Linked DNA regions of Anolis sagrei. Each later gene encodes a partner of the first gene's protein in a complex. Links are inferred from orthologs where the notes say so. Each region holds a gene or a part of one and is shown on either strand. Other genes may lie near its edges.

The links.
Region 2: the proteins of KIFBP (region 1) and kinesin-like protein KIF18A are in contact, whole or in part, in a cryo-EM structure (PDB 7RSI), measured with the Homo sapiens proteins. The link is inferred for Anolis sagrei from reciprocal best matches to the Homo sapiens genes KIFBP and KIF18A. Residues at the interface, in NP_056449.1 of Homo sapiens: Ser150, Glu151, Tyr212, Tyr213, Gln216, His220, Gln238, Ile251, Asn252, Thr255, Gln258, Asn262, Gly414, Tyr415, Val459, Asp460, Leu461, Asn462, Pro463, Gln464, Leu467; in NP_112494.3 of Homo sapiens: Glu181, Thr183, Gln184, Lys185, Gly186, Arg274, Phe275, Val276, Glu277, Gly278, Thr279, Asn280, Ile281, Arg283, Ser284, Leu285, Leu288, Gly289, Val291, Ile292, Arg314, Lys317, Asp318, Gly322, Asn323.

Annotation. Positions count from the first base shown.
Region 1 is NC_090023.1:170,881,299-170,897,063, forward strand, and holds the start of KIFBP (KIF-binding protein), read left to right. Parts: upstream 1-8,207; 5' UTR 8,208-8,266; coding exon 8,267-8,644; intron 8,645-9,996; coding exon 9,997-10,095; intron 10,096-15,173; coding exon 15,174-15,253; intron 15,254-15,341; coding exon 15,342-15,525; intron 15,526-15,765. Other genes in the region: DDX21 (nucleolar RNA helicase 2), read left to right, coding at 658-817, 1,356-1,490, 2,055-2,099, 3,318-3,539. UniProt on the Homo sapiens protein: Activator of KIF1B plus-end-directed microtubule motor activity. Required for organization of axonal microtubules, and axonal outgrowth and maintenance during peripheral and central nervous system development.
Region 2 is NC_090021.1:260,363,630-260,379,971, forward strand, and holds the start of kinesin-like protein KIF18A, read left to right. Parts: upstream 1-8,046; 5' UTR 8,047-8,218; intron 8,219-15,040; exon of another isoform or gene 15,041-15,043; 5' UTR 15,044-15,094; coding exon 15,095-15,422; intron 15,423-16,126; coding exon 16,127-16,284; intron 16,285-16,342.

The DNA.
Region 1 (15,765 bases):
AGACTAGGACGCGGAACAATGGCTTCAAACTACAAGAGAGGAGATTCCATCTGAACATTAGGAAGAACTTCCTGACTGTGAGAGCCATTCAGCAGTGGAACTCTCTGCCCCGGAGTGTGGTGGAGGCTCCTTCTTTGGAAGCTTTTAAGCAGAGGCTGGATGGCCATTTGTCAGGGGTGATTTGAATGCAATATTCCTGCCAAGAAGCAGGGGGTTGGACTGGATGGCCCATGAGGTCTCTTCCAACTCTATGATTCTATGATTCTATGATTCTATATATCAACTTTGGTTTAAGTTTACAAGGAAAGTGGGAGAACATTAGGTTATAGGATAGTAGGAAATTTAGGAAATCAATGAAAAAGAGGGGAGGAAAGGAGGAAAAAAGTAAAAAAAAAATAGTTGTTTGACTTCCATTCTGTGTCTTCGCCTATAATATATATCAGCTTTTTTAGTTTAAATTTGTCTCTTCTCATTTTCCTCTAAGGACTCCTTTTCACTCATATGCCTAAAAAGAGGCAATAAAAATATTCCCAGTAAACGTCCCAGAGGATAGTCTTATCACTTGTTTGTCCTATTGACTCTTCTCATTTAAGTAATTTTCAAATGATGACCAGTTTGTCCCCTATATTCGTTCTGAATTGTACATTTTTCATTTAGATCATTGGATTCTGTCCCTCCCTCTGCCATTGACTACTTCCGACAATCTGCTGAGCGGCTGATAGAGGAAAAGGGAGCTGTAGAAGCTCTGGCTGCAGCCCTGGCTCACATTTCAGGAGCCACGTCCATTGAGCAACGCTCTTTACTCAACTCAGATGCGGTAAATACAGTGCTTACGTGGGCTCTTTAACCTTTCTAGCATTCCTGAAAGGCTTATCAATGAATTGTATGACGTAGTTGAGCTACATACCTGCATGTGTTGAATGTTTACATGCTAAAACATTGCATTTTGACTATGAACTAATGCAGGTTGTCCATTTTAACAAAAAATAAGGTCTAAATTTTGTTGTGAGGCCCATCTATAGTACATCCATCGCATCCGTTGCTAAATCACTGGGTAGACTTATTTCTCTAAGTTTCACTGAATCATTGGGCTATTTTATTTGGGGTTAACAAATAAGATTCAAGCCTAAGAAACTGTGGACATATGAAAGAGCCAAACCAAAGTCCTCTCTAATCCAAATTTCTTGATGTTCTACTGCAAGCTTTGTATGCTTTTTACGCTTTCGAGTTGTTTCCAATTTTTGGCAACCTGAGGGGCCACCATACTCTAGTGGTTTGAGTGTTATGTGCTACAACTCTGGAGTCAGTTATGTGTTCATTTTATTGTAAACCTGGTTTTTTTGCGTCTTTTGAAGGGTTACGTGACCATAACGCTTCAGTGCTCAGTAGAAATGCACTCAATTGGCTATGCTTGGCGAGCTCTGAAAGAGCAATTGGGTGAGGATATTGACAACAAAGTGTTCAGAATGCGCTTTCTCAAGGGGAAAACGGTAAGAAAACCTGCAGTTTAGTATATGTTACTAGATGAGTATTCTGTGGCATTTGCTTTTTCTATTTGTCTAATCTGGCGTGCAAAGAGAAAATTTTGAATTGATAACCAAAATGGTATTATGGAAAGCTTTTAATAACTTTGAGTTGTGTTGTCCTAGGATAGCTTGCAAAACTTTTATTAGGAAAACTTGGGTTTGAATCACTGCTTGAGGCAGTGATACAGTCTTCCCAGTTTTCCATCTTATAATAAAAAAGGTTATGGTGCTTTGGATTATTGAGAAAGTTTAGAGACAACAGTACCTATTTTATTTATATTATTAAAAAAAGAAGGGAAGGACAAAAAAACAAATCTAGCACACCTTTAAGACCGATTATAGTTTAGCATGAGCTGTTCCTTTAGTCTTCCTTTGAATCAAATACCTGAAATAAGAATGTAAGAAAACAAGCATTTTCTGTAGCTTGACTGCTATAATGTCTTAAACATGATGTCACTTATTTTTCCAGAGTGTTTCAGGTTACTTTGTCTGGAGACAAATTTTGAATCTTATTTCTCTTGTGTTTAGGGTGTGTGTTTTGATATTCCTGTAGCTGAACTACCTAAACTACAGGTGAGATATTGCTAATGTGGGGTTTTGCTTTTTTTTAAACTAAAGTTCTAAAAAATATACATTTCTTTTTCAAATGAACTAGCCGTCCTCTGCCACGCGTTGCTGAGGCCCACATAGGGGTTCTATGTGGGAGGTTTGGCCCAATTCTATCATTTGGGGGTTCAGAACACTCCATGATTGTAGGTGAACTATAAATCCCAGCAACTACAACTCCCAAATGTCAAGATTCTATTTTCCCCAAACTCCACCAGTGTTCACATTTGGGCATATTGAGTATTCGTGTAGAGTTTGGTCCAGATCCATCATTGTTTGAGTCCACAATGATCTCTGGATGTAAATGAACTACAACTCCAAAACCAAAGGACACTGGCCACCAAACCCTTCCAGTATTTTTTGTTGGTCATGGGAGTTCTGTGTGCCAAGTTTGGTTCAATTCCATCGTTGGAGGGGTTCAGAATGTTCTTGAATTGTAGGTGAACTATAAATCCCAGCAGCTACAACTCCCAAATGACAAAATCAATTTTTTTTTAGTGAAAGACATAACATTGGGATGTTAGGTGTCTTGTGTCCAAATTTGGTGTCAATTCGTCAAGTGGTTTTTGAGTTCTGTTAATCCCACAAACGAACATTACATTTTTATTTATATAGATAAATTGTAATTATGTTGAAGAGGTGGTATTTGCATCAGTATTGAAACACAGGAATCACAATTATGGCGTGAACCTGAATTAATCCAGAAAACCAGTCCTTTTAAGATTCTCAGAATAGGTAGCGTTAGTACTTCTAGGGTACTACTCACTTTTAGTGTACCTTCCTTTAAATATACATGTTTGCGGTGTAGAAAAAGATAAGCTAAATCCTGGCCAGTTCCTATTGTGGTTTGTGGGGCTATTTGCCTCTTATTCTTAGGTATGTTTGCAACTCCTACCCTCTCAAGACAGCCCATAAAGAGTTGTTGGTATGGCCATTTTGAATAACTTACATAAAATATAAAATATTTGCCTATACACCAAAGGATAGGAATCATGTAGTACTCCAGGCACCAGCATGCCATAAAAGGTCTCTTTTCCCCATCCAATCTAACCTCATTTCCTTATGGGTCACAGAACAGGGTGACTAATATAATGCAGTTCAATGCAGCTAAACTTCATTTTGAAGCTGCATTATGTGGCAGTATAGATGGGGCCTTGGATGACACGTGCTTTTTGTTTTAATCAGCAAACCTGGCAGGATTCAAGGCGCTGGCAACTCTCTGTGGCAACAGAATTACCTGAGCTTGAAGAATCGCTCAAGGAGCCTGGCCGAGGCGGCGGCGGCAAACCTGACTTCAGGAACAGAAGAGGGGGCGGAGGGGGCTCTAATTTCAGAAATGGAAGACGCGGTGGTGACTCGAACAGGCGTGACAGATTCAGAAACAGGGGCCAAAAACGAAACTTTTGACCGGGCTTTTTTGATCATTTGCAACTGTCAAATATAAAGGATGTTTTAACAACAGTAAAAATTGATTTACACTTTCCTTATGTGTTTTCTTTTTTATTAGTTTGGTTTTGTCTGGTTGCAAAACTCATGTTGACAAATATTAGGATTGGCGTTTCATTGCTGCTGTGTCTTCAAGTCATTTCTGACCTAGCAAGATTTGTTTAGATGAGACAGATAATATGACTTGCATAGTGCATTTCCTGGGCAAGGAGGAATTTGAACCCTGTTATCCAGTCATAATCCGGTGCTCAAGCCATTACACCACACCAGGTCACTAGCATAATAAACCAAGACCGAACCTAGTGCTGCTACAGTTACCACATTTGCTACAAGCTCTTATAGTAATACATTTAGAACAGGGGTCCTCAAACTAAGGCCCGAGGGCCGGATGTGGCCCTCCAAGGTCATTTACCTGGCCCTCACTCAGGGTCAGCCTAAGTCTGAAATGACTTGAAAGCACACAACAACAACAATCCGATCTCATTTGCCAAAAGCAGACTCACACCTCCCACTGAAATGCCAGAAGGTCATGGGGGACCTTGTTGAAAGCCTTACTGAAATCCAGATATGCTACATTCATGGCATTCCCTGCACCTACCCAGTTTGTAACTCTGTTGGAGGTGATTTTTGAGCTGAGGTATTTAATCTGGTGAGTTTGCCGAGGTCTTACATTTATATTGATGGAGAAGTTGTGGGAGGGGTTGCAGACCACATGATCCGCTCTGGAACCAGCAGTGTACAGACTTTTTCGGGACCACACAGATTGCAGACTTGCAAACATTTGCCTGCTGTTTATTATAAGAGATGTTCTTCTGGAAGGGACTGCCTGATGAAGACCAAAGAAGGCACGGAGTTGGCTTTGCTATGTACTGTTTTTGAGATGTTGAGCCAAAGTCCAAGATTTGCAATTTCCTTTTGCACACTTGCACCACCACTATGTACAAAAATAATTGTTGGCCCTCTGTATCTTCTTCCATCCTCTTCTAGCAATTGGTTTATCTATAAGTGTGACGATGTGTAAGTTTTATTTCTTTGGTTATGTGTAGTTTGCATAGTGGTTTAGGGATGGTAAGTATGGGAGATTATGTTTTGTTGGAGATGGTGGCTTGGCGTTAGCTAAGTTGCCGTAGCAACAGGGGCGGAGCCAACTGCCTCTTCAGGAGGCAGCTGTTTTAAAAAGTCAGTCAGTGGCCGGAGAGCTACTGAGAGGACTGAGTCTCTAGGTGGAGATTCAGGAAAAGTGTCTGTAACCGGTGTGCTATAGGAAAGACTGAATCTCAGGGTGGGGATTCAGGGAATCAATTGGTGACCAAAGTGGTTGCAGAGAAGGACCCGGTAGTGAGAGAGCTACAGGGGGTTGTTGATTCTGAATTAAGAATCAAGGTTTGGCTAGGTTTAAGCCTGCTGTGCCTGCTGTGAAACGTTTTGAAGTCTGTGCCTGAGATTACTTATGAAACCTTTCCAATGTAACCATCAAGATTTGTGCCTCTCTTGAAGAAACAGTTAAACATGTTATACTCCTGTTAAAATAAACTTGTTACTGTTCTCCTCAAGCCTTGCCTCATACAATTTCTCCTAAGTTGAACAGCCTGCAATAGTAAAGTCAAGCCAGGAAAGTAAACGCTACGCTATCAAATAAATAAAGCCTTCTGTAATTAACAGTCCCTTTATAAAATAGCTCCTAGGTTGATATTGAGCGTTGCCTGGCTTCCCTCATAGATTAGGTGGCAGTGGGTGTTTTACCACTCGCACCTTCACATTTGGTGGCATTCGGTGGCATTAAAACGGTCTCCTTTACAATAAGCTTGTTGCTTATAGATATTGTATGTATGCTCTGATATGCAACTTTCTTTCCTTGCTCTATGTTTCTCCTGAGAAGTTGTGGGAGGGGCTGCAGACCACATGATCCGCTCTGGAACCAGCAGAGTACAGACTTTTTAGACTTTGGGACCACACAGATTGCAGACATGCAAACACCTGCCTACTGTTTGTTGGAAGAGAGATGTTCTTCTGGAAGAGCCTGACTGATTAAGACTAAAGAATGCACGGAGTTGGCTTTGCTATCAGAAATGACCTGGTGAAACATCTGACCGAAGCACCCACTGGCATCAATGAACGACTCTCAACCCTCCGAACTGAATTTGCCAAAAACCAACAGGCAACCATCATAAGTGCCTATGCACTAACACTAGATGCTGATTAAAACATCAAGGAAAAATTTTACTGTCAGCTGAACACCGTCCTATCAGAGATACCTAAGGAGGACAAAATCATCCTCCTGAGGAATTTTAATGCAAAAGTCGGGCAAGACTTCGACCTGTGGCCAGGGATCATAGAAAAAGACGGGGTTGGAAACAGCAACTCGAATGGCATTGTGTGGAACACAACCTTGTCATCACCAACATGCTCTTCCACCAGAAAAACAAGTTCAAGACATCATGGAAGCACCCCCGGTCAAAGCATTGGCACCTCTTAGACTACGTAATCACACGGGCCAGAAACGGCTGTGACATGCTTCTCATAAGAGCCATGACAGGTGCTGACGACTGCTGGACAGACCACAGGCTAATCCAATCCACGATGGCTATCAAGATGGCCCCCAAGCGCAGACTCCAAGGAAGAAAGACACGGTGCTAAATGAACACCCAAGTCCTTCAGAAGCCCTCCAAACGAGCTCATCTCCAAACAGCACTCAAGAACCATCTACCCACAGAACACCCTGAAAATGTTGAGGAACGTTGGAACAAACTGAAGACCTCCATCATCACAGCCTGCGAAGAAACTACTGGATATCAAACCAGGAAACATCAAGATTGGTTTGACGAAAATGACGAGATCCAACAGCTAACTTGACAAGAAAAGGAAAGCCTTCCAAACATGGCAGAGAGATATCAACTGTGCTACTAAGAAAAAGATCTACGTTAGTGCAAAAGCTGAGGTCCAAAGGACAAGAGAACTCAATAACATCTGGTGGAGAAAGAAGGCTGAAGGAATCCAACACCTGGCAGATACCCATAATGCCAAAAAGAAAAATGGGTTACCCTGAAACTATGGAGACCAAAACCCACTGATTGTGGTAATATGAAAATAACTAAATTAACTCAATGTATATATTACAAATACACATATTAAAAAAAACTGCCACATTCACATTAAGTAGAAACAACTGGTTATGAAAGACGCCCAGCGGCCACATCATGAGAAGAAGGAAGAAGGGAAAGCTTAGAGAAAACAATAGAATTATAGAATCCTAGAGTTGGAAAAAAACCTCATGGGTCATCCAGTCCAACCCCCTGCCAAGAAGCAGGAATATTGCATTCAAAGCACCTCTGACAGATGGCCATCCAGCCTCTGTTTAAAAACCTCCAAAGAAGGAGCCTCCACCACACTCCAGGGCAGAGAGTTCCACTGATGAACAGCTCTCCCAGTCAGGAAGTTCTTCCTCGTGTTCAGGTGGAATCTCCTTTCTTGTAGTTTGAAGCCATTGTTCTGCGTCCTAGTTTCCAGGGAAGCAGAAAACAAGCTTGCTCCCTCCTCCCTGTGGCTTCCTCTCACATATTTATACATGGCTATCATGTCTCCTCTCAGCCTTCTCTTCTTCAGGCTAAACATGCCCAGCTCCTTAAGCTGCTCCTCACAGGGCTTGTTCTCCAGACAATGATGCTGGGGAATATGGAAGGAAAAAGGAAGAGGGGTCGACCAAAGGCAAGATGGATGGATGGGATCCTTGAATAGACTGACTTGACCTTGAAGGAGCTGGGGGTGGTGATGGCCCCACATTCCAGCTTGATATTATCAAGCTGGAATGTGTCCAGAGGAGGGCAACTAGAATGATCAAGGGTCTGGAGAACTGGATAACGAACCCTATGAGGAGCGGCTTAAGGAGCTGGATGGCCATCTGTCAGGGGTGATTTGAATGCAATGTTCCTGCTTCTTGTCAGGGGGTTGGACTGGATGGCCCATGAGGTCTCTTCCAACTCTTTGATTCTAACAGGGAGCTCTGGCTTGGGCTGGTCCATGAGGGCAAGATGGATGGATGGCATCCTTGAACTGACTGGCTTGACCTTGAAGGAGCTGGGGGTGGTGACGGCTGACAGGGAGCACTGGCTTGGGCAAGATGGATGGGATCCTTGAATTGACTTGCTTGACCTTGAAGGCGCTGGGGGTGGTGACAGTCGACAGGGAGCTCTGGCTTGGGCTGGTCCATGAGGGCAAGATGGATGGATGGCATCCTTGAACTGACTGGCTTGACCTTGAAGGAGCTGGGGGTGGTGACGGCTGACAGGGAGCTCTGGCTTGGGCTGGTCCATGAGGGCAAGATGGATGGATGGGATCCTTGAACTGACTAGCTTGGCTTTAAAGGAGCTGGGGGTGGTGACGGCCGACAGGGAGCTCTGGCTTGGGCTGGTCCATGAGGGCAAGATGGATGGATGGGATCCTTGAACTGACTAGCTTGGCTTTAAAGGAGCTGGGGGTGGTGACGGCCGACAGGGAGGCTGGTCCATGAGGTTATGAAGAGTCGGAAACGACTAAACGACTGAACAACAACTGAGAAGCGTGGAAGGCGGCTGTAACGGAGGGAAGGGAGCCAAGAGGACGTTCTCTGGCGCGCTCCCTGACTGCGCATGCGCGCCAGTCGACGGTCGGGTTAGAAACCCTGGAGACGCGCTGAGGGAGAGGCGGACAAAATGGCGGCGCCGGCCGAGTGGGCTTCGCTGTGCGAGAAGTTCCGCAACGCCCTCAACCTCTCCTACGTGGAGTCCAAGAAGGACCCGGAGACCGAGCCGTACCGCTCCAAGTACAGCGCCCGGGAGCTGCTCGAAGGCATCAAGCAGTCGCTGGGCTCGGAGGAGGTTGGCGAGGCCGAGGGCGGCCCTGCGGAGGAGGGCGCCGAGGAAGAGCGCATGCGCGCCGCGCGGCTGGCGGCGGTGGAGTACGAGCTGGGAATGAACCACACAGACACGCAGGAACGCTCGGCCGGAGAGGAGCACCTGGCCAAGTGCCTCCAGCTGCTGGAGCGGCACCGCCTCTCGCGAGACTGCGTCTCCCTCTACATCCAGGCCCAGGTGGGACGGGCGGGGGAGGGAGGGAAGAGCGCGGTGGCGTCACTAAGGGCGCGCGTGGTGACGTCACAGAACAACAGAGGGCTGCATTACAGAGGAGGGGGGAGCATACCCAAAAGAGCTTAAAGCACAGAAATGTATTCTATTTTTATATTTAAACAATCTCTGTAGCTGGATTGAGCCACCATCACTTTTTTCATAAGCACACTTTATATGTGCTAAGATTGAATACCCCTTATCTAAAAGGTTTGTGACCAAAATAATAATCTTCAATATAAATAAAAATGTAATGTTAGTTCGTGCTACCAACAGAACTCAGAAATCACTGGGGGAATTGACACCAAATTTGGACACAAGACACCTAACAACCCAATGTATGTCCGGATTCGTAGTTACTGGGATTTATGTTGTTCATTCATTCAGTCGTCTCCGACTCTTCGTGACCTCATGGACCAGCCCATGCCAGAGCTCTCTGTCGGCCGTCACCACCCCCAGCTCCTTCAAGGTCAGTCCAGTCACTTCAAGGATGCCATCCATCCATCTTGCCCTTGGTCGGCCCCTCTTCCTTTTGCCTTCCACTTTCCCCAGCATAATTGTCTTCTCTAGGCTTTGCTGTCTCCTCATGATGTGGCCAAAGTACTTCAACTTTGTCTCTAGTATCCTTCCCTCCAATGAGCAGTCGGGCTTTATTTCCTGGAGGATGGACTGGTTGGATCTTCTCGCAGTCCAAGGCACTCTCAGAACTTTCCTCCAACACCACAGTTTAAAAGAATCTATCTTCTAGGTTCTAGTAGGTTTTTTCGGGCTATAGGGCCATGTTCTAGAGGCATTTCTCCTGACGTTTCGCCTGCATCTATGGCAAGCATCCTCAGAGGTAGTGAGGTCTGTTGGAAATAGGAAAATGGGTTTATATATCTGTGGAATGACTGGGGTGGGGCAAAGAGCTCTCTGCTGAAGCTAGGTGTGAATGTTTCAGCTGACCACCTTCATTAGCATTTGAAGGCCTGGCTGAGCCTGGGAAAATGTTCTGTTAAGAGGTGTTAAGATGTACCTAGTTGTTTCCTCTCTGCTGTTTTGCTGTAGTAATTTTAGAGTTTTTTAATACTGGTAGCCAGATTTTGTTCATTTTCATGGTCTTCTCCTTTCTTTGTACACAGAGAAGCCATTGAAATCCACAAGCATATGGACAATTTCAACAGAAAGGAGGAGACCCTGAAAATGAACAAAATCTGGCTACCAGTATTAAAAATCTCTAAAATTACAAGTGTAGCTTTCATTTTCCACCCCTTGTAGGATTTCATTTTCTTTGTATGATGTCTTTTAAAATAACAATTTAATCTTTCCTTATTTTGCAGAATAATCTGGGTATCCTCTGGTCAGAAAGAGAGGACATTAAGACAGCACAGCCATATTTGGAATCTGCAGAGGCTTTGTATAACCAGTACATGAAAGAGGTAATATGTTGAAATAATTTGCTTTGAGTCTCTTTGGGGAGATAGAGTGGAATATAAATAAAGCTTTATTATTATTTGTGTTTCTGCAGTGTGTCAATTCTTGGATGTGAGAGTAATTGAATTTCTAAGTTCTGGTGTTGATAGGCTGTGGTCATAACATAAGAAGCAAGTTGTCTGGGTGCATGATTGTTGAATTTTGCAACCTAGATAATATGTTGTGAAACTGAGAGCCAGTATCTTTCACTTAGGAGCCATTATTTTAGAAATTTATAATCGTATCTAGTAAATCTATCTAGCACTGTAATTTCATTTTTATGTTACGTTTCAAAATTGCTACAATTTAAGCAAAGGTGTTAAGCCGAAGCTTGTGTCCAAAGTTATCAGAATTTCTATTTAATTTTACTTATATAATAGTAAAGGTAAAGGCTTTCCCCTGACATTAAGTTCAGTCATGTCCGACTCTGGGGGGTGGTGCTCATCTCCATTTCTAAGCCGAAGAGTCAGCGTTGTCTGTAGACACCTCCAAGGTCATGTGGCCGGCATGACTGCATGGAGCGCCCTTACCTTCCCGCCGGAGCGGTACCTATTAATCTACTCACATTTCCATATTTTCATACTGCTAGGTTGGCAGAAGCTAGGGCTGACAGCAAAAGCTCACGCCGCTCCCCGGAAGAGTATAAATACTCCCAAGTAAATAAGGCTGCATTGCTCCGCTGCTCTTGTACAATTGTTATGCTGTTGGTGCAGAATCAGGGTTACTGCTCTGCTTATGCTAAGATAGATAGCTCTGTTTATAGATTAGTCCACTGACCATATCAACAATAACAGACAAAACCAAAAATACACAGACCAATAGACACTAATCACTATGCTGAAACATGAAAGGCACTGCAGACTACTTCAACCAGAGAAGTCAGCCATAGCAGAGCACCTGATGAACCAACCTGGACACAGCATTTTATTTGAGAACACAGAAATGCTGGACCACTCTCACAACCACCATGTCAGACTACACAGAGAAGCCATTGAAATACACAGGCATGTGGACAATTTCAACAGAAAGGAGGAAACCATGAAAATGAACAAAATCTGGCTACCAGTATTAAAAAACTCTAAAATTGCAACAGCACAACAACAGAGAGGAAGCAGGCAGGGACATCTAATTACCTCTCAACAAAAGATTGCTCCAGGCACTGCCAGGCAATCAAATGCTAATCAAGGTGGTCAGTTGAAACATTCACACCTAGCTCCAGCAGAAAAGAGTCCTTTGTCTCACCCTGGTCATTCCACAGATATATAAACCCTTTTTCCTACTTCCAACAGACCTCACTACCTCTGAGGATGCTTGCCATAGATGCAGGCGAAACGTCAGGAGAGAATGCCTCTAGACCATGGCCATATAGCTCGAAAAAACCTACAACAACCCAGTGATTCCGGCCATGAAAGCCTTCGACACATAATGCTACACAGAACAAAGTGGGTTTAGTTATCTTAAAACCTCTCTCTACATTTCAGTAAGATGCACAATAGACTAAACTCTTGATGCATAGCAAGCAGCATTCTGAGTTGTTGACTCTGCTGTGCCATCGCATTTGCACAATGGGCCCTTTGTTAGACCTTCCGAGGCACTATTTATACAGTGCGCAGCCTCAGGAGCCATTTCCAGCCCTCTTGACACGACTCCTAGAAAAAACAGTGGAAGGCTGTACAAATCCTGAAGTGTGATCCAAAAAATAATTGTTTATTGGTCTTGATTCTAGTTCCCTGAATTTGTTTTTAGTTACTCTGACTATGATAGTGCTATGGAGAGAGGGCTCTCGTCTCTCAGATCTGTGTGGTTGTTTCTGATTTTTCCCATTTACATCTCACTTTGTTGCAAGGTGCTCGTTGGTCCATTTCTATAAGCGTTTCTCTGCCATTTCCATATTGTCAGAATTCATACTTTTGCAGTGTGTTCAATAAGATGGTACCTTATTTTCCTACTTGACAGATGCAATTGTTTTTCGGGTTGCAAAGGTCAACAGCAGGCTACACACAATTGGTTGGAAACCCACTCCAACCCGGGCTGGCTTCGAACTCATGACCTTTTGGTCAGAGTGATCTTAATGCAGCTGACACTCAGCCAGCTGCGCCACAATCCCAATGCCCTTAAATTTAATTTTTAAAAATCCCATTCTGATCGAGATCCGTCTGCATTGTAGTAGTATGACCGACCTTGTTCATCTACATGTTTTATCCACTCATGATCTGCTTGGTTCAAAGTGTCTCCTTACTTATGCTTGGATCCCGAGTCAAGCGTGGTGGTTTCCAGGTTCTTTCCTGTGTTCCTTTGTTGTAATAATAACAACATCCTATTGAATCTTTATGTGTCTCCCATTCTCCATTAATTTGGATTGCAAGAGTTATAGGTATAGGTGTGTTAGACAGACTGACTTTGGACTTTTATATGTATAGACAGATGTGTCTAACTCTCTATTCTGATGAATTTGGTATAGTATATAGTAATTTCAACAACTGATGTGTGGATTTTGAGGTCATGGAGATAGGAGAAGACCCTTCTGTGTATACATATGTAAAGTCTCTAAGGCTTGGAAGATCTAGATCCAGCTGAGGATCTGAATGTGTCTACAGAATCTCATGGGAAGAGGTGCTTGAGTTGTTTGAGCTGGATTCAGTGGGGGGACTCATTACTTCAGGTTTTAATTTAAAGCTCTTTTAATTTGGGGGTGGGGAGGTTGCTTACTGTAGTGGATTTGTTCATCAGTAATTTAAAAAACAATTGGTTACTGTTTTCTTTTATTGATGTCCATGGAGTATCAAGACTTACAATCAAGTTACTATTTATTACATTTTTACAGGAACTTGTGTTCTTTAATTATTCAGAACGGATGACTTGTTCTTCATGCTAATCTATATCAATAAAAATGTAATGTTCGTTTGTGGGATTAACATAACTAAAAAAACCACTGGGCGAATTGATACCAAATTTGGACACAATACACGTATTTGGCCAACCAGTGACTATCACTCATAAAAATACTGAAAAACACAGCAGAAGAGACTTAAAAATTAAAAAGATATATACATTACAACGCATGCACAAAACCACACACATATATATACATATACACAAATATATCTTCTTCTTAGGGAATCCCTCGTAGTCCAAGGATGATGGTCCTCCAAGTGTAGTGCCCTGGCGGAGGGTTTGTAGGTGACTGTGGAGCCCTGTTCTTTATCTGCATCTTCTCCCACAGTGAGGGCATCGGTTACCAGGTGGAAGGCGGTCCCAGTCGGGGTTGGCTTGACGCGCCTTCCTCTTGGCACGTTTCTCTCTTTCGCCCTCCATTCATGCCTTTTCAAATTCTACAGCACTGCTGGTCACAGCTGACCTCCAACTGGAGCACTCAAGGGCCAGGGCTTCCCAGTTCTCAGTGTCTATGCCAGAGTTTTTAAGGTTGGCTTTGAGGCCATCTTTAAATCTCTTTTCCTGTCCTCCAACATTCTGTTTTCCATTCTTGAGTTCAGGATAGAGCAACTGCTTTGGGAGACATCCGGTGGTCAAGCATCCGGACAACAGCACAAATATATACACATACACATATACACACACAAAGCACATATAAACAGACTGGGCCTCAGCAACGCATGGCAGGGGACGGTTAGTCATAAATATACCTGCATGGGTTGATTCTCCTACTTTTATCTTTTGTATCTTGTTATAACAACTCTTGTTTGAGAATAGTGAATGCTTAATGATGTCAAAAGTATTTGTATTATTGAAGGCTTTCATGGCCGGAATCACTGAGTTGTAGGTTTTTTCGGACTATATGGCCATTGTCTAGAGCAGGGATCCTCAAACTAAGGCCCGGGGCCCGGATACGGCCCTCCAAGGTCATTTCCCCGGCCCCCGCTCAGGGTCAACCTAAGTCTGAAACGACTTGAAAGCACACACAACAACAACAACAACAACAACAACAATCCTATCTCATCAGCCAAAAGCAGGTCCACACTTCCCATTGAAATACTAAGTTTATATTTGTTAAAATTGTTCTTCATTTTAATTATTGTATTGTTTTAAGTGTTTTGCACTACAAATAAGATGTGTGCATAGGAATTAATTCATTTTTTCCCCAAATTATAATCTGACCCTCCAACAGTTTGAGGGACTGTGACCTGGCCCTTGGTTTAAAAAGTTTGTGGATCCCTGGTCTAGAGTTATTCTCTCCTGACATTTCGCCTGCATCTATGTCAAGCACCCTCAGAGGTAGTGAGGTCTGTTAGAACTAGGAGAAAGGGTTTATATATCTGTGGCCATAGATGCAGGCGAAATGGCAGGAGAGAATGCCTCTAGACCATGGCCATATAGCCCGAAAAAACCTACAACAACTCAAAAGTCTTTGTTGCTATACTCTTACTTTTATTGAAACATTTAAAAAATCACTCTCAAAGTAATGGATTGCACTTCTGCTATTTCAATAACGATTTTGTGTATGGAGAGTAAAAGCTTGTAGAAGTACAGTTAGGTTTGCATAATCATTGTTTGGCCATATGCAGACTCTGTTTTAATAAGTCAACAGAGTTAATTGCCTCAGATGTCCTTGGCACTTGTTTTGTGGAATACAAATACTTTTGGGAGCTATTAGGCCCGTCGCAAACTCTGTTCCTGCGGGAGAAAACCTTGCTAGCATGTCCCTGACGTCACGAGACTCCGCCTCTCCCCGCCCCTTTCTCCGCCCCTTTCTCTTTGCCAGCGTGGTTTTTCCTTTGCTAGGGCAGCATTGCCAGCATACTCTCTCAGTTGGCAGAATTCAACTGAGCGACGGCTCTTAAGGTGCTTCATTGGAAGAAAAGGAGGCGAATCCACAGCTCTCTGGCAATGTTGGGCTACATATTTAATCATCCCGAAACACTTGTCATCTTGGCTGGGGCTCATGGAGGATGAAGCCAGCTTTTTTGAATGAGCGCAACTTTCCTATTAGTGCTTTTTATTTTTCTATCGGAGCGGAACTAACATGCAACTAGTAGAGCGGAAATTTCCTGTATAGATTATCTTAACTGTATGTTGTGTTTTGCAGAATGGAAACCCTCCGCTTGATTCCAGTGAACATTTTATGACTGAAGAAGAGAAGCTTTCTGATCAAGAAAGATCAAAAAGGTCTGTGTTCACTGAAGCCGAAGTTGGAATTTGGGTGGTTGGGTGGTCATCTCTTTTAAAATTAAACCTGAAAACCCTGTTTCCTCAGATTTGAAAAAGTCTATACTCATACGCTGTATTATTTGGCTCAAGTCTACCAACATCTGGAAATGATTGAGAAGGCTGCACAGTACTGCCATTCTACCCTCAAACGGCAGCTTGAGTATAGTGGCTACTACCCAGTAGAATGGGCTTTCAATGCAGCTACTTTGTCTCAATATTATCTCACAAAGGTAATTATTTAAATGTTCTTCCATCCATCTAATTTACTTTTATAATGTGTCATGTGATTTGTATTGTCAAGGAATGGGTTGCATCTACAGTCATGTTAGGAAGCTATAGCACTTTTATCTCTTTAGGAACCACTGTGCCTATTATCCTACAGTGTTGTGTGAGCTGATTGGCCTTGATGGGAATGGGGGTCAGTAACATATAGAGTGTCACAGCATTGATCAAATCTCAGCCCTGTTGAG
Region 2 (16,342 bases), on another chromosome or scaffold:
GGTGCTCTGCAGATCTCCCTGAAACCTAACCCTGGATTGCGTAACTCTAAACTGGCCCCCTTCTCAGAGGCATACCACTGCAATAATTAATTAATTAATTAACCGCATTTGTATACCGCCTTTCTCAACTGGAGGCAACTCAAGGTGGTTCAATTAAGGATAATCAAGTCAGATATTTACAAGAACCCCTCATTCTCCCTAGTGTGTTCTTTTTCTGCCTCATCTACAATTGGGGGAAGAGCCTCTGCACCATTCTTTAACTGCAAATTCCACGTTTGCGAACTGTCCTCATCCCGAGACATACTCCATGCATTGATTAATGAACATGACTCATTTACAAGATTGCAGCCATACTGTCCCATATTTTTCTCATGAAGAAAATATTTAATCTATTTGATAATGTACTTTATCTTACTAGAAAAATATGGAACAATGTATTGCTGTAATCCTGTAAATCAGTGGTTTTCAACCTGGGGTCCTCAGATGTTTTTGGCCTTCAATTGCCAGAAATCTTAACAGCTGGTAAACTGGCTGGGATTTCTGGGAGTTGTAGGCCAAAAACTTCTGGGTACCTCAGGTTGAGAACCACTGCTGTAAATGATTTATGTTCAAAGCCAAGTATGTGATAAGTAGCACCCAGAAATCAAGAAAGCACCCCCTTCCTTCACAGAGCTCTGAGAGCTTTCACCTGGCATACCATTAGACAAAAACTTCAAGAAGCCCCTTCTCCTTCCTTGACAGCACTGAGGCAATTTTGCTATCACCCTCTTTATGATCTGTGTTAGATTAGTAGGCTCCTTTTCAAAACCAGAAGTACTTTAGCAGATATGAGAAATTTAAGGACAAAATCAGGGGTGTTGTATTACGGCTCCTGGGAGAATCCATGCAGTCTATAAACAACTGTCATTGTTTCAACCATATACCATGTCCCTTACATTAGGGTTCTTTTTTGACTAACCATGTATGAATTATAATTATAGCCTTTTCATTTGAAATTGTTTTCTTTGCAAGTTCATTAACTCAGCACATCACAAATAAGGAGAACTCCCTGCTCCCTGCTCCATGAGCTCAAAAGCAGCTCGAGCATTTGGATGTGCCCACTGTTGATTCCCCTGAATTTATCAGGAATTTATCATTTTTCAGCCCAAATTGAACAATTTATATACCCTGTGTAGCATCTAAGTATCAATGTCTAAACTTGTTTTCTATCTTAGCTATGCATTCTCTAGTATCAGGAGGAAGGGAAGGAAGCTCACTGAATTATCCATTTTAGTAACTTTTGTCCTCAATATTGTTCATTATGCTATTTGACACCTATATGGAAATGTCTTCAACAACCCAAAGTTTCTGCTTCTTATTTGTTTTTTCTATTTGTATTCTGGCATGCACAGCAGAAACTGAAAGGTATCATTAGATACAGTAAATAATGGACTTAAATTTAGTGTTAGAAAAAATAGCTCATAATATCCCAACCAAAACTGCCTCTACTCAAAAAAAGGCGGAGGAAAGTATGAAAAATAATTAAGAGAGAAATATACAACTTTTAAAAAATCAATAACAGAAATGCCAGATAAAGTAAGACTTTTAAACAATGCCAAAAGAGATGCTTTCAGATGAATAGGTCCTGCCACTCCAAGGAAGAACGAACCAGCTGCATGAGGCTATGGTTTACCACAATATAAATATATAAATTTATATGAATGTATGACTGGAACAGCCACAACTAAGCTGTGGAGACCATGGTTTAGTGTTTGTGGAAAGAATGACCAAATAATACTTGAAGAGATCTTGCGAGGAAATGGATGGACCATCCACGTTATTGATTCACACACCAATAATCTCCTTCCAAACTGACTGCAGCAGTCTTTGCAAAACAGACATATCTCAATTAACAAAGACCAGACATGGGCAAACTTTGGCCCTCTGGGTATTTTGGACTTCAACTCCCACAATTCCTAACAGGTTGTTAGGAATTGTGAAAGTCCAAAGCAGTCGAGGAGCGAAGTTTGCCCTTGCCTGAGAAAGACCCTTAACAAAAAAACCTTCCTTTTAAAAAGGCTTTTTTCACATGCTTAGACTCTTGTCCAATCTCGTACTCTCTAGCTGAACATATTTTAGCTGAATTTCGGAGATCGAGTTGGAGAAACACAGACTACCACTGTCATGTTGCAGTAGTGTTTACAGTAAACAATGACATACAGTTTGATCTGGGATAGTGTATGATTCTAATATGTAAATCCTATTTTAGCTCTGTGTGCCTACTAACAATAGCAGCAGCATCACAAATCCTTTACTAAGAAAGTAAACAATAAAACAATCAGGAAAAGAGACAGTCACACCTTACCAACTAATCTGGTATGCTAAAAAAGCATAAATGTATAAGCTTGGTCACCAAAATGGAGATCAGAAGAACATAGCCAATTGCCTCTGGATAAATTTTGGAAGAGGCTTTCAGACTCTTGTAGGTTTCAAATGGTTTTGTTTACTTCTAATAGCCTTTCATATGTGCATGTTGTTAGTTTTGGATAAAACGTTTGCTGAAACATGTTAAAATTAACTTATTTTGTGGAGTAGGATTGTAATCCTCTTTCTTTATATGTTACTTCTGCCACCTGTAGCACATTTTTTGTTAAAAGCAATGCCCAGGAACACATTCATTTTGTTAACTAAGATAAAAACGTGAAATCCTGGATGACCCCACAGTCAGGATTTCACTTTTTTTAGGAAGGCCAGGAGAGATGGAGCAGATCTAATTTCAATGTATTGTCGAAGGCTTTCATGGCCAGAATCACTGGGTTGCTGTAGGTTTTTTCAGGCTATATGGCCATGTTCTAGAGGCACTCTCTCCTGACATTTCACCTGCATCTATGGCAAGCATCCTCAGAGGTAGTGAGGTCACTATCTCGGAGGATGCTTGCCATAGATGCAGGTGAAACGTCAGGAGAGAATGCCTCATTTGAGAGGGAATTCCATAGCTGAGAGGCCACCACAAAGAAGGTCATGTCTCTCAAATCTGGAGTTTATATCTTAATGAGGGCAAGAACTCTCCAAGAATTCAAACGCTTCCCTCTAAATTGCAATAATGGCAGCCATGGCAGTTAACATGGGATAATACTGCTATAGAAATATATTACACTGTGCTTTTAATGTACAATGTTTTAATTGGTCTGTTTCCTTGGGAGGAGCCTCTAATGGCCTCACTAAACTACAAACCCCAGAATTCTCAGGAGGTAGAAACCAGATTTTAAGTGGATTTTTTTCTTTAGCGTGATGAAGTAGTACGCTTATTTAGCTTAAACCTTGACTTCGGTTGTTTACAAGTTATATTGATTTATTTAATTTTATGTTTTGCTTTGATTGTTATTTAATTTTTTGGCATTGAATGCTTGCCATTTTTGTCATTTCAGTAAACCACCCTGAGTTCCTTCAGGGAGCGAGGGCAGGTTATAAATAAAGTTTTTTTATTATTATAGCAAGAGAAAACTCTTCATTTTGGTTTCATGGCCATTTTGGTACTATTGTTTGGTTCTTCTTCGGTATGCCACTCTTCCTAGCAGCTCTTTAGCAAAGGCTGTGTTTACACTGCAGAAACAGTGCAGTTTGACACCACTTTGATGCCACAGCATCCTGGGAGCTGTGGTTTTACAAGGTCTTTAGCCTTCTCTGTCAAAGAGTATTGGACTGGAACTTGGGAGGTCACCAATGCACAGCTCCCTAGGTTTCATAGCACTGCACCTTCTCTGCCAAAGAGTGCCTCACCAAACTACAAGCCCTAGGCAGGTAAAGGTGCATCGATTCCACAATGCGGCTGTATCCTCTGGCGTAGTGAAGACGCGCAAGGCAGGAGTCTCTGGGAGGCGAAACCTGAGGAGCCCCTCCATTTCCGTGGCAACCAGGGCGCCCCGTGAGTGGGAGCCGCAGAGCAGCCTGCGTGTGGCGTGTTCAGGCAACGTGGCGTCTCCAGGGTCTATGGGCCGGCCAGCCTGCCTCTCCCTCCCTCCCTCCTCCTTCCTTCCTTCCTTCCTTCCTTCCTTCCTTCCTTCCTTCCTTCCTTCCTTCCTTCCTCGGATCTCCCTCTCCCTCTCGCTTTCCCTCCCGCCCGCCAGTCCGTCAGTCCCGGCGCTTGGAGACTGAAGAGATACTCACAACCCGCGCTGCGAGGCCGGTGCGCCACGCCGCAGGTTCCCCCGTTGCGTCACTAGAGTGCTGCCAATAAGAGTCCTCCGCGCAACAAGGCACCGCTGCCTTGAGTTCCGCTAAGCCACCTCTTCCTCATCTTCCACAGACTACTGAGGAGGGAAGCGGACTTTTCACTCCGGCGCTAACATCTTTCCAGTCAGGCCCATGGTAGCCGTTTGGTTGGTCCCAGGGGGGAGAACTCGACCAAAAATCCCGAGGCGGGACACGTCTTCAGTTGGACGACGTCTTTTTTTTTTCCTCCAGAAGGCTGAAAGTTGGCTTTGCAAGCTTCTGTGGGACTCAGCAAACCTCATCCTTGGCTCATTGTTTCATTTGAAATAATCAAAACAAGGACCACACTGGACTGCATAGAATAGATTTATTTTATTTATCATATCAGAAGCAAACCAGGGGTACAGTTGTACTGTATTTTTAAAAAGACAGTTTTAAAACTTGACATTATACTAAATGTCCTTTGACCGGTAGCTGGCCTCTGGTGTTCCTATAAGGAGGTCCTCCACTGTGCAGGGCTCAGATTGCATTGTAATAGGTGGAAACAATCAGGGACATCTAATGACCTCTCAACAAAAGATGGCCCCATGCACTGCCAAGGCATCAAATGCTAATCAAGGTGGTCAGTTGAAACATTCACACCTAGCTCCAGCAGACAAGAGTTCTTTGTCCCAACCCTGGTCATTCCACTGATATATAAACCTTTTTTCCTAGTTCAACAGACATCACTACCTCTGAGGATGCTTGCCATAGATGCAGGCGAAACGTCAGGAGATAATGCCTCTAGAACATGGCCATATAGCCCGAAAAAACCTACAATAATCCAGGTGGTCTGTGGTTTGCTCTTCACACTCGCATGTGGTGGACTCCACTTTGGCTCTGCATCTTGTGGTGCCAGAGCGCAGTCTGTTCGCCGCCTTCCAAATCACCCAGCCTTCTGTGTGCCCAGGGGAGTCTCTTATTTGGTATTAGCTATAGCTTCAGGTTCCAGGTCATAGAATAGATGATATTGTAAGACTTATGACACCTACCCCTGATTTACATGCTGTCCCTTCCTCTTAAAAGCCAGTGCCCCCCTTTTTTCCATCCTTCCCCCTTGGAGTAGACACCCCTTCTTTTTCTCACGTTTCCTTCCCCCCTTTTGAGTAATAATAATAGCTTTATTTCTTGCCCGCCTCTTACACTCGAGCCGGGTTACTAAAACATAAACACATATTACTAATGATTACTAATTCTAATCAAGGTGACCAATTGCAACATTCACATTTGCCCCCAGCAGACAAGAGTTCTTTCTCCCATCCTGGACATCCCACAGATATATAAACTTCACTTGGCTAGTTTCCAGCAACCTCAGGATGCCTGCCATACATGTGGGCAAAAAGTCAGGAGAGAATTTTTTGTTTCTGAGCTATAAATGTCATTTCCTAATTGGATGTATCATTTTAAAAAACATGGGGAAAAGTTAATTACAATAGTTGTCACTATAGATTATTGGGCATTGTTCTGAGTTCTGAACTGACTTATATGCTATATGTTTTACTTTATTATATTGTACTGTGTGTTTATTTTATGCTCTGTTTTTGGCACTTTGTGCCATATGTAAGCTGCCCCGAGTCCCTTTGGGATGATGGAGGCAGGCTACAAGAATAAAGTTAAACTGCAAAAAAAAAAAACCTTTTGTTGTTGCAGGTAAGTGTGAACGTTTCAATTGGCCACCTTGATTAGCATTTAATGGCCTAGCAGTTTTCAAGCTGTGGCTTGTTACTGCCTTTGTTGAGAGCTGATTCGCTGTCCCTGATTGTATCATGTCTGAAGCTCCTCTGTCTTTATTTAGGTCCTGATTTTAGAGTTTTTTAAATACTGGTAGCCACATTTTGTTCATTTTCATGGTTTCTTTTTTTCTGTTGAAATTGTCCACATGCTTGTGGATTTCAGTGGCTTCTCTGTGTAGTCTGACATGGTACTTGAGTAGTCCAGCATTTCTGTGTTCTCTAATAATATGCTGTGTCCAGGTTGGTTCATCAGGTGCCCTTTATTTTTGCGGGACCTCCTGCAGTACATTTTGCTAGTTTTTCCAATTAGTCTCAACCAACAATAATACAATAATAACTTTATTTTTGTACCTCACCTCCATCTCCCCAAAGGCACTCAGAGCGGTTTACATGGGGACAAGCCCAAAATTCAACATGGTTAAAATAACAACACAAGTCATAAAAACATTTCAAACAATATAAAACCACCACAAAATGCATTATATAGCGAACATCTGGCAACCTTCAATGGTCTGAATAGTGCACAGTACTGAATTCGGGCGGATAACTGGTGCCGATCATTTGACAAAAGATAGGGTTGATCGCAACCGTACTGATTGATATCTGGCTGAAGGAGAAAATGTGCCTGGCTTGACTCTGAAGGAGCTGGAGGTGGTGACGGCCGACAGGGAGCTCTGGCGTGGGCTGGTCCATGAGGTCACGAAGAGTCGGAAACGACTAAATGAATAAACAAGGGTTGCTGAATAAAGTGCTAAAGGAAAGGACATAACGGGATTTCGACCTAAGGGGTAGTATAAAGGGAGCATTATATCTCTAACCAGGGCAATGGTAATGTGTGACATCTATTTAGGATCAAATTGAGAGCCAGAACTATTTGGGGGGACTAGCTAGTCGAAGGCACAATAGAACATCCACGTCTTTAGTTCTTTCCGGAAGGTGGACCAATTGAACATTAAGTTTCTGGATTATAATAATAGCACAGAATCTTCCTGGCCAGAATCAGAATGGCTTGCATTGCTGGCTGCACTCTACTTAAAGCTGATGTTTTGGTTTTGGGGGGGGGGGGTTGTTGGAGGAGGGAAGAGCTGCGGTGTGAAGCTGCGAGGCCGGGAGGGATCTGCGGTTGAAATGAAGTTTAAACCCCAGCCGCCCACGCCGCGCAGAGAAGCAGGCACCCCACGTGACGCGTGACGTCAGTGGCTGGAGGAGGCGGAGGAGAGGCAGCAGTCGCTGGGTCTGCAGGGCTTCAAGACTGGAGCAGGCATGGGCAAATCTCATATGCAGATCCAAACTGCATTCTGTGACAGGGTAGATGGGGCCACAGACTAACAATCCTTTTTTAAAAACTAAACCCGAAAATGTATAAACATTAGAATAGAATTAAATATTAGGGTATAAAGACAATTGCAATAACTAACAATCTATTAAGGATCTCAATCTAGAGAATGAATCCGCAGAATCCTGGGGTTTGTAGTTTAGGGAGGAGACTTAACAGCCTCCTCACTAAACTACAAACTCTAGATTTCTGCAGGAGGCAGAAACCGGATTTAAAGTGGATTCATTCCCTAGTGTGATGAATTAGTAAATACATCAACACAAATCAGCACCCTCTTGAAAGTGCTATTCGTTAAAATATGGCACAATAATGGCAAAGTGAAGGTGTGTGTATGTGTTGTGTCCCCATTCAATTGTTTGTAATGTTTCCAAGCCGTGGATACAGAATCCGTGGATAGGGGATGGCCGGCTGTAATGTTTAGTAATTGAATGGGAGACAAACCAGGCTGCACTCCTGTCCCGGCCCAGCTCTAGAATGCGCTTATGAAATCCAGCCTCCCTTTTTCTCTCCGCCATGAGCAGAAGCTCCCCCACACACCTCCTCCTCCTCCTCCCTCTCTCATCTACGTAGCAAAGAAACCTCTTCCTTCCTTCATTCATTCATTCCTTGCCAATACTACCCAACTTCCTATTACCATCATAAAGAGAGAGAGAGAAAGAGGAGCCGCCCACCTTTCCCTCTGCTTGGGCTAAGGAGGGACGGGTCCCCGTTTGGGACAAAAGAGGCGAGCTCCTCCTCGCCCGCCCCGCAGTAACGCAGGTGACGTCACGCGGTCGGGAGCCAACCAGGAGGCAGAGAGCTCCAAACCGCTTGGGTTTAAATTTGGTGGCTGCCGGAAGGCCAGAGAACTCCAGTGGTGCCGACGCCTTAAAGACGCGGCGCGGGTTGGGAGTAAACAAAGGCTCTCTTCGGGGTCCCGGTGAGTTAAAGAGGTTAAAGATGTACCAATTAGGACGGGTGAGGAGGAGCTCGGGTGCAATGAACTTTTGAAGCCATTGAACTAGGCCAGGAGGGAGAGAGAGGAGATAGGTAGAGCATAGGCATGGGCAAACTTGGGGCTTCCCTCCAGGTGTTTTGGACTTCAACTCCCACAATTCCTAACAGCCTCAGGCACCTTTCTTTTTCCCCTGGGCCGCTTAAGCTTGAGGCTGTTAGGAATTGTGGGAGTCGAAGTCCAAAACACCTGGAGGGAAGCCCCAAGTTTGCCCATGCCTATGCTCTACCTATCTCTCTCTCTCACACACACACACATATGTATTCTGGCATTTCAGTAATTAACAACTCATTTATTTATTTATTTTGTTTTTAATTTACAATACAATCACATCATATACAGTATATATATATATATATATATATATATAGGAAATAAATTTCCATTACTTGCGGAAAATCAAATCTTATAAATCCAATACATGAAGCCGCTGCAGGAGATCATCTGGAGTTTCGGGGTACGGTGTCATCTGTACGCAGATGATGTCCAACTCTGTCACTCCTTTCCACCTGCTACTAAGGAGGCTGTCCAGGTCCTGAACCGGTGCTTGGCCGCTGTGACGGTCTGGATGAGGGTGAACAAATTGAAACTGAATCCAGACAAGACAGAGGTACTCCTGATCAGTCACAAGGCCGAACAGGGCATAGTGTTACAGCCGCACTCCCCCTGAAGATGCAGGTTCGCAGCTTGGGTGTGACCCTGGACTCATCGCTGAGCCTGGAACCCCAGGTTTCGGCGGTGACCAGGGGAGCATTTGCACAGTTAAAGCTTGTGCACCAGCTTCGCCCGTACCTTGGGAAGTCTGACTTGGCCACGGTAGTCCACGCTCTGGTTACATCCCGTTTAGACTACTGCAACGCTCTCTACGTGGGGTTGCCTTTGAAGACGGCTCGGAAGCTTCAACTAGTCCAACGCTCGGCAGCCATGATACTAACAGGAGCGGAGCACAGGGAGCATACAACTCCCTTGCTGCACCAGCTCCACTGGCTGCCGATTTGCTACCGGGCTCAATTCAAAGTGCTGGCGTTGGCCTATAAAGCCCTAAACGGTTCTGGCCCAAGCTACCTATCCGAACGTATCTCTGCCTATGAACCCACCAGGACTCTAAGATCTTCTGGGGAGGCCCTGCTCTCGATCCCGCCTGCATCACAAGCACGCTGGCGGGGACGAGGGACAGGGCCTTCTCTGTGGTGGCCCCTCGGCTGTGGAATGCCCTTCCCAGGGACATTAGATCAGCCCCTTCGTTAATGGTGTTTCGAAGAAAACTAAAAACCTGGCTGTTTGAACAGGCGTTCAGATAAATAGTGCAATGAACGATGAATATAGGAAACGGAATTTATGGATGACGAATTGGATCACGATTTTAGTTATGAGATGCTAATGTGTTGTATTGATGTGTCATTATTTTGTATATTGTGCTGTTAATGGTTTTAAATATTGTATGTTGTTTCATTGACTGCGTTGAGTCGCCTGCAGGTTGAGAAACTGCGGTATACAAGCAAAGTAAATAAATAAATAAATACTACATTGTGTACAGAATATATAGGATCCCTTCATGACTTTGTATCTCCGTGTGTACATGTCTATAACATTTCAGAGGCTGTATTTTGAGCACTTTCTCTATACATAGATATGTTGCAGGAGCTGTAATTTGAACTTTTTATCTATCATCTACATTGCCAGTTTTCTGGAGGTTAAAATGCCTTAATTTTCTTTGGAAAGACCTCTAGACTAAAGATCATTAATAATAATAATAATATAATGATATAATAATAATAAAAGGGACTTGGGGCAGCTTACAACATAAATAACACAATAAGTGCAATATAAGAAAATACATAATAATAATAATAATAATTCCTAAAGACCTTGGCCTGCACTTAAACACAATCGGCGCTGACAAAATTACCAGCTGCAGAAGGCCACCTTACCTGGATCTGCACACATTTTTCGCCAATACATCACACAGTCCTAGACACTTGGGAAGTGTTCGACGTGTGATCCAATTCAACAGCCAGCGGAGTGTCTGCTGTGGACTCATCTTGTTGTGTTTCTAATAATAATAATAATAATAATTTTATTTTTTATACCCCGCCTCCATCTCCCCGAAGGGACTCGGGTCGACTTACATGGCGCCAAGCCCTATCAACAGAGTTAAAATATAGCACATTAGAATGCATAAAATCAATTTAAAATAACACAAAGCAGCAATTATAACAAAATATAAAACAATCATCAGAACCAACAACAGCATAATTTAGGTCTCAATATGGGTGGAATAAAGTGGAATAAACAATTAATAACACATAAAAATATAACACACAAAGTACAGCACAATCAAATAACAAAATTATGAACAGTTAGATTAAAAACACTGTCTTTCATATGAATGATGTAATGTATAAAAAGAGAAGGTAAAGTCACCTTTATGAACCTGTTTGGAGACTCAGGTTCATATCCAACTTTCTAGGTAACTATGGGCTAGCAGCCACTATCACACCAATTTGCAAGTTTGTCGAAGGGATAAAAAGTGAGGGAAAGGGCCACATACTTTACTGTAATCTTAGCGTGGTCAATTATAATCAACACATACATATATGTATGTGTGTATACATTGATATGCTTTCAAGTTATCTATGATGATCCTATTAATTTTATGTGATTTCCTTGGGCAAGGAATATTCAGAAATAATTTGATAGTTCCTTCCTCTGAAATAGGAAGCCTACAGCACTTGCTATTTGTTGAAAGTCTCCCATTCAGTTACTAACCAGAGTTGACCATGCTTAGTTTCCAAGATCAGGCAGGATGTGGCACCTTTGGGGTATATGGTGAAGTGGGCTATAGCCAGTGGAGATTTATACTGAAATAACCAGGTTAGTTCTGAAAGTATCACAAGGCTCTCTTTCTTCATTTCAAATCACCTTTAAGGTTGCAGTTGTATGAACACGTGGGAATAATTCCAACTGAGCTCAGAAAAGCATTGTTCTTTGGATCAAGCTGTCTTACTTACCAGGCAATAAAATGAAATCCCAACAATGTTTATGTGGGAGTTGATCCTACTGCATTCAGCGAAGATAGATCGACGTCTGTTAGTGTTTTGTTAACCTTTGTACTTCATATTGTTTTAGCTGATGTGCTTTAATCTTACACTGTATGCATCCTTTAGTCCAGTAGTTCCCAAACTTTTTTTTTAACCATGGACCACTCTCCAAATTAGTTTTTGGTCAACTTTAGATTTGGTTTGGTTGTTTGAGGTGCTGATTCAGAAAATTACATTGGATAGACCACATCAGCTCTAGTTTATGATACAGAACATATGTCATCCAGTAGTCGCCATCTGTTTGCCCACAGAAAACCATATTTAATAACCCTCGGCACTATAAGAGGATTTAGCAATACCAGTTGCTCTTGTTTCAACGAGGTATTAACTGTGAGGCCGCGGCCCATATTTTAGTTCTTATGGAGCACAAGTTGGGAACCACTGCTTTAGTCCCATTGGGAAAGATGGAATATAAACCACTACTCTGAAACACTCTATTGAACAGGGGCTTCAGTCTGAGTAAGCATACTGAAACTAAAGTATGTATGGTAGTGCGAACTTGACCCAGCTGAAACAGATTCTAGTGACATCTTAAAACCCAACATATATTATGGTATATGTTTATTCTGCAAAATACATTGCACTACATTTTTTTTAAGATGCTATATAACGAGTGTTTACTGTAATTGAATGAAGAAGCTATCTCTCTACAAGTTAACTCCCAGTTGTCTGTATTTATAAAGATAAGAATTGTCACTTCCTTCTACCAGGGTAACTAACTGTACCAAAGTGGGATTTGAAAGATAGGACAAAAGTCAGGCGTATTCTTCCTCATAACTGCCTTGCCATGCTGTCACTGACTGAACTGTTATAGTGCAGGATGAGTGAAACTCTGGTCACCTTCTGATACAGGCAGGAGCACTGTCTCAAGTGTATTGTGTCACTAAAGTCCTACGTAATGGCTTATGTACCCTCTTTCCTGGAAGTAGTTTTCAGTGAATTGAATGAGACTTTAAATAGATATGATTAGGATTTCACAGCACTGAGTGATAGTCCACAAAATCTTATGCTGAAATAAATTGGTTCAACTTAAAGGTGTCTCAAGATGCCTCCCCCTCTTCCCATTTTTATATAATGTGACATTAACAGGATCTTTTTTCAAAAATTACCTACATTATTAATGAGCAAAACTACAGGTACTTAATGGTGAATCAGTTATGTCCACCTGTAAATATGTTATTTTTGAGAACTCATGTGCCAGCGCAAATGCAGCGTGATGTAAGTGTGCCGGTATTTGTAGAATGCCACAGATATTAAGAATATGTTGGATGCATTAAGAATTACTTTAGATAATTTCATTCGATGTTTTTGTGCTCATACATGCTAGTCACCTGTTGATTTGTGGTGACCACATCAATTCTGGAAGTTCCTCCTTCTGAAATATAGTCTTATCACAGTTGGTATTTGTTACTGGCACTGCTTAGCAATTAAGATCAGAACATATTCAGTACTTTCAGAATATTATATGGCATCTAACAGCCAAAACAAGTTTATATTGCGTAGTGTATTTTTAGTCTAAAGCAACGTTTCTTAACCTGGGGGTCGGGACCCCTGGGGGGGTTGCAAGGGGGCGTCAGAGGGGTTGCCAAAGACCATCAGAAAACACAGTATTTTCTGTTAGTATGGGGGTTCTGTGTGCCAAGTTTGGCCCTATTCTATTGTTGGTGGAGTTCAGAATACTCTTTGATTGTAGGTGAACTATAAATCACAGTAACTACATCTCTCGAAGGTCAAGGTCTATTTTCCCCAAACTCCACTAGTGTTCATATTTGGGCATATTGAGTACTCGTGCCAAGTTTGGTCCAAATCCACCATTGTTTGAGTCCACAGTGATTTCTGAATGTAGGTGAACTACAACTCCAAAACTCAAGGTCAATGCCCAACAAACCCTTCCAGCATTTTCAGTTGGTCATGGGAGTTCTGTGTGCCAAGTTTGGTTCAATTCTATCATTGGTGGAGTTCAGGATGCTCTTTGATTGTAGTTGAACTATAAATCCCAGCAACTACAACTCCCAAATGACAAAATCAACCCCCCCCCCCAAAAAAAATCTCACCAGTATTCAAATTTGGGCGTATCAGGTATTTGTGCCCAATTTGGTCCAGTGAATGAAAATACATCTTGCATATCAGATATTTCCATTACGATTCATAACAATAGCAAAATTACAGTTATGCAATAAAAGTAATTTTATGGTTTGGGGTCACCACAACATGAGGAACTACGTTAAGGTGTCACGGCATTCAGAAGGTTGGGAACCACTGGTCTAAAGTGACGTCTATGTTCCAAACTCTAAAGTGTGTATACCAGTAAAATATAATTTTACCATGGTCAAGAATGGTGCCAAGTATAGGTACGTACAGTAGCTGCTTGTCTTTTATAAACTGCATTCCTATTCCTGTATGTTAATAGACAAATTAGAAATGAAGAGCTTCCCCTCCCGTACAGAAAATCCCTAAAGTCCATATTTGCTTAAATGTTAGTCTCACTGTATTCAATGAGATTTCTTCACATGTAAGGTTGGAATCTGCTACCCAGTTACCCTGCAAAGAAACCTTAATGAATTCTGTGGTAGTGACTGTTAAGTAGACATGTATAGCATTGTAGTGGAAGCACACATAGGAATAGCTAACTACATTTTGAGGCACTTTTGTTATGTCTTGCATTACAATACTGTAATTATAATTTAGCAAATAACATTTGTTCCCCAGTAGTTTAATTAATTCAAAATAAGATGCACAACTGTTTGTGCCATTCTGGGATTCCAAAATAAAAGCTAAGAATGATTCACTGAATATGCTACAGGAATTGAAATGTATGTAAAATTTGTAGCTTCAAAAATATTTATATGGAAATGGCATAGACATTAATAGTTTTACAGGATGTAAGTAATGGACTGTATTTGGCATTAATCTCTCTTCATTGCAATCTCTTAAACCAGGGGTCCTCAAACTTTTTAAACAGAGGGCCAGGTCAAAGTCCCTCAAACCTTTGGAGGGCCGGATTATAATTTGAAAAGAAAACATGAATGAATTCCTATGCACATACGTATCTTATTTGTAGCACTTAAAAACAAAACAATAATTAAAATGAAGAACAATTTTAACCAATATAAACTTATTAGTATTTCAATGGGAAGTGTGGGCCTACTTTGGGATGATGAGATGTTGTTGTCGTGTGCTTTCAAGTCATTTCAGACTTAGGTTGACCCTGAGCAAGGGCCGGGTAAATGACCTTGGAGGGCCACATCCGGCCCTCGGGCCTTAGTTTGAGGACTCCTGTCTTAAACTGTTGCTTAAAATTTAGTCAATCATTTCACATCTTGTGCTGGTCAAATGGTCAACTCTTCCCACAAACGTGTTTGCTTGTTTTAACAGCATCAGCCCATACATGTTTATTCTCTCTGTTGTGTGGAGAACTAAATGAGTAAAACAGACATTGCTGTGGCCTTTTTAATTTCATTAGGCAACAATTTCATTTGTCAAATTGCAGTTTGGTCCTTGAAATCAGCAGTTGGCACAGTTGCCAAAGGTAATTGTCAAAATAGAAATCCAATAGTGTTCTACTAAAAATGGTATAAGCAGTGTGACCCTGGTATTGTCTTTGTTATTGATGATTAAGCTATTCTACTTTTTCTCATATCAACAGAAGAAGCTGAATTTATCTCACACAGGAAGTATTCCTGGCAACACTTTTTTCATAATGACCACTACTGTTCAAGAAGACGTCTGCAGTCATGTGAAGGTAGTGGTCCGTGTTCGACCAGAGAGTCAAAAAGAGAGAGATGGCAACTTCACAAAAGTGATCCAGGTTGTTGATAAGCATATGTTGGTCTTTGATCCAAAAGTGGAGGAAGTCAGTTTTTTTCATGGAAAGAAACGTCTATACCGCGATTTGAACAAAAAGCAAAATAAGGATATGAAATTTATGTTTGATGCTGTCTTTGGTGAAGATGCATCACAGCTAGAGGTCTTTGAAGAAACAACCAAAACAGTACTGGATGGCTTTTTAAATGGCTATAATTGCACAGGTAACCAACCTCTGTGTTTGACTCTTCATTGCTTATGAAAAATAAACTGTATTACTAACTTGTATAGAAGACTACAGTAAAGTATTTATAAATCCTAAAACTTTTATGGTGTTGCTCTGCTTCATGTTTGAGGGTATGCTAGTCTTTGAGGATTTTGTTTTGGTATCTCTTGCTTCACATATAGTAGCTTCCTCATCTTGCAAATGAAAACTGAGACTTTCTGTATCTCATTTGCAAAAATCCAGAAATTAGTGAAAAGCATTAAGACCAGTCTATTTTTCTCACAATTCTTCTTACCAATTCTGACTTTAGGTATTTTTTCCCTCTTCCACTCCAGATATGGTTGCTAAGTTGAAAATTAGAGGTGGTTCCTGTATCTTTAATGAGCAACCTGCTAAAATGACTTCCTTTCCATAACCATTGAAGATATAGGGGATACCTTCAGTTTCAATTCTGGCAACCCTACTTCTGAGTAGCCTCCTTGAGCACTAGGGTCAATCTGGTTACAAATTTGGACAGAAAGATGGGATACAAATTGAATTAATAGCCCACATCATTCAAACGGAGCTCTTTTGCTCCTTTAAATTAGTTCAGTATTCACAAGTAGTCAGACTTCCCTCTTTTTTCAAATGCTGGATTTTTAAAGTGTATGCATTCTCTGATATCACCTCTTTTCACCCCTTTCCTACCCTATTGCTATGTAGTTCTTGCATATGGTGCAACAGGGGCTGGAAAAACTCACACCATGCTGGGCTCTCCTAAGGATCCTGGGGTAATGTACCAGACCATGGTGGAACTTTATGCTTCAATTGAACGAATGAAAGAGGAAAAGCATTGTGCCATTGCAGTTTCATACCTTGAGGTACGTTAGTCAAAAATATTAGAAGAATGTTACATATTATGGTGAAATAGGACCATAC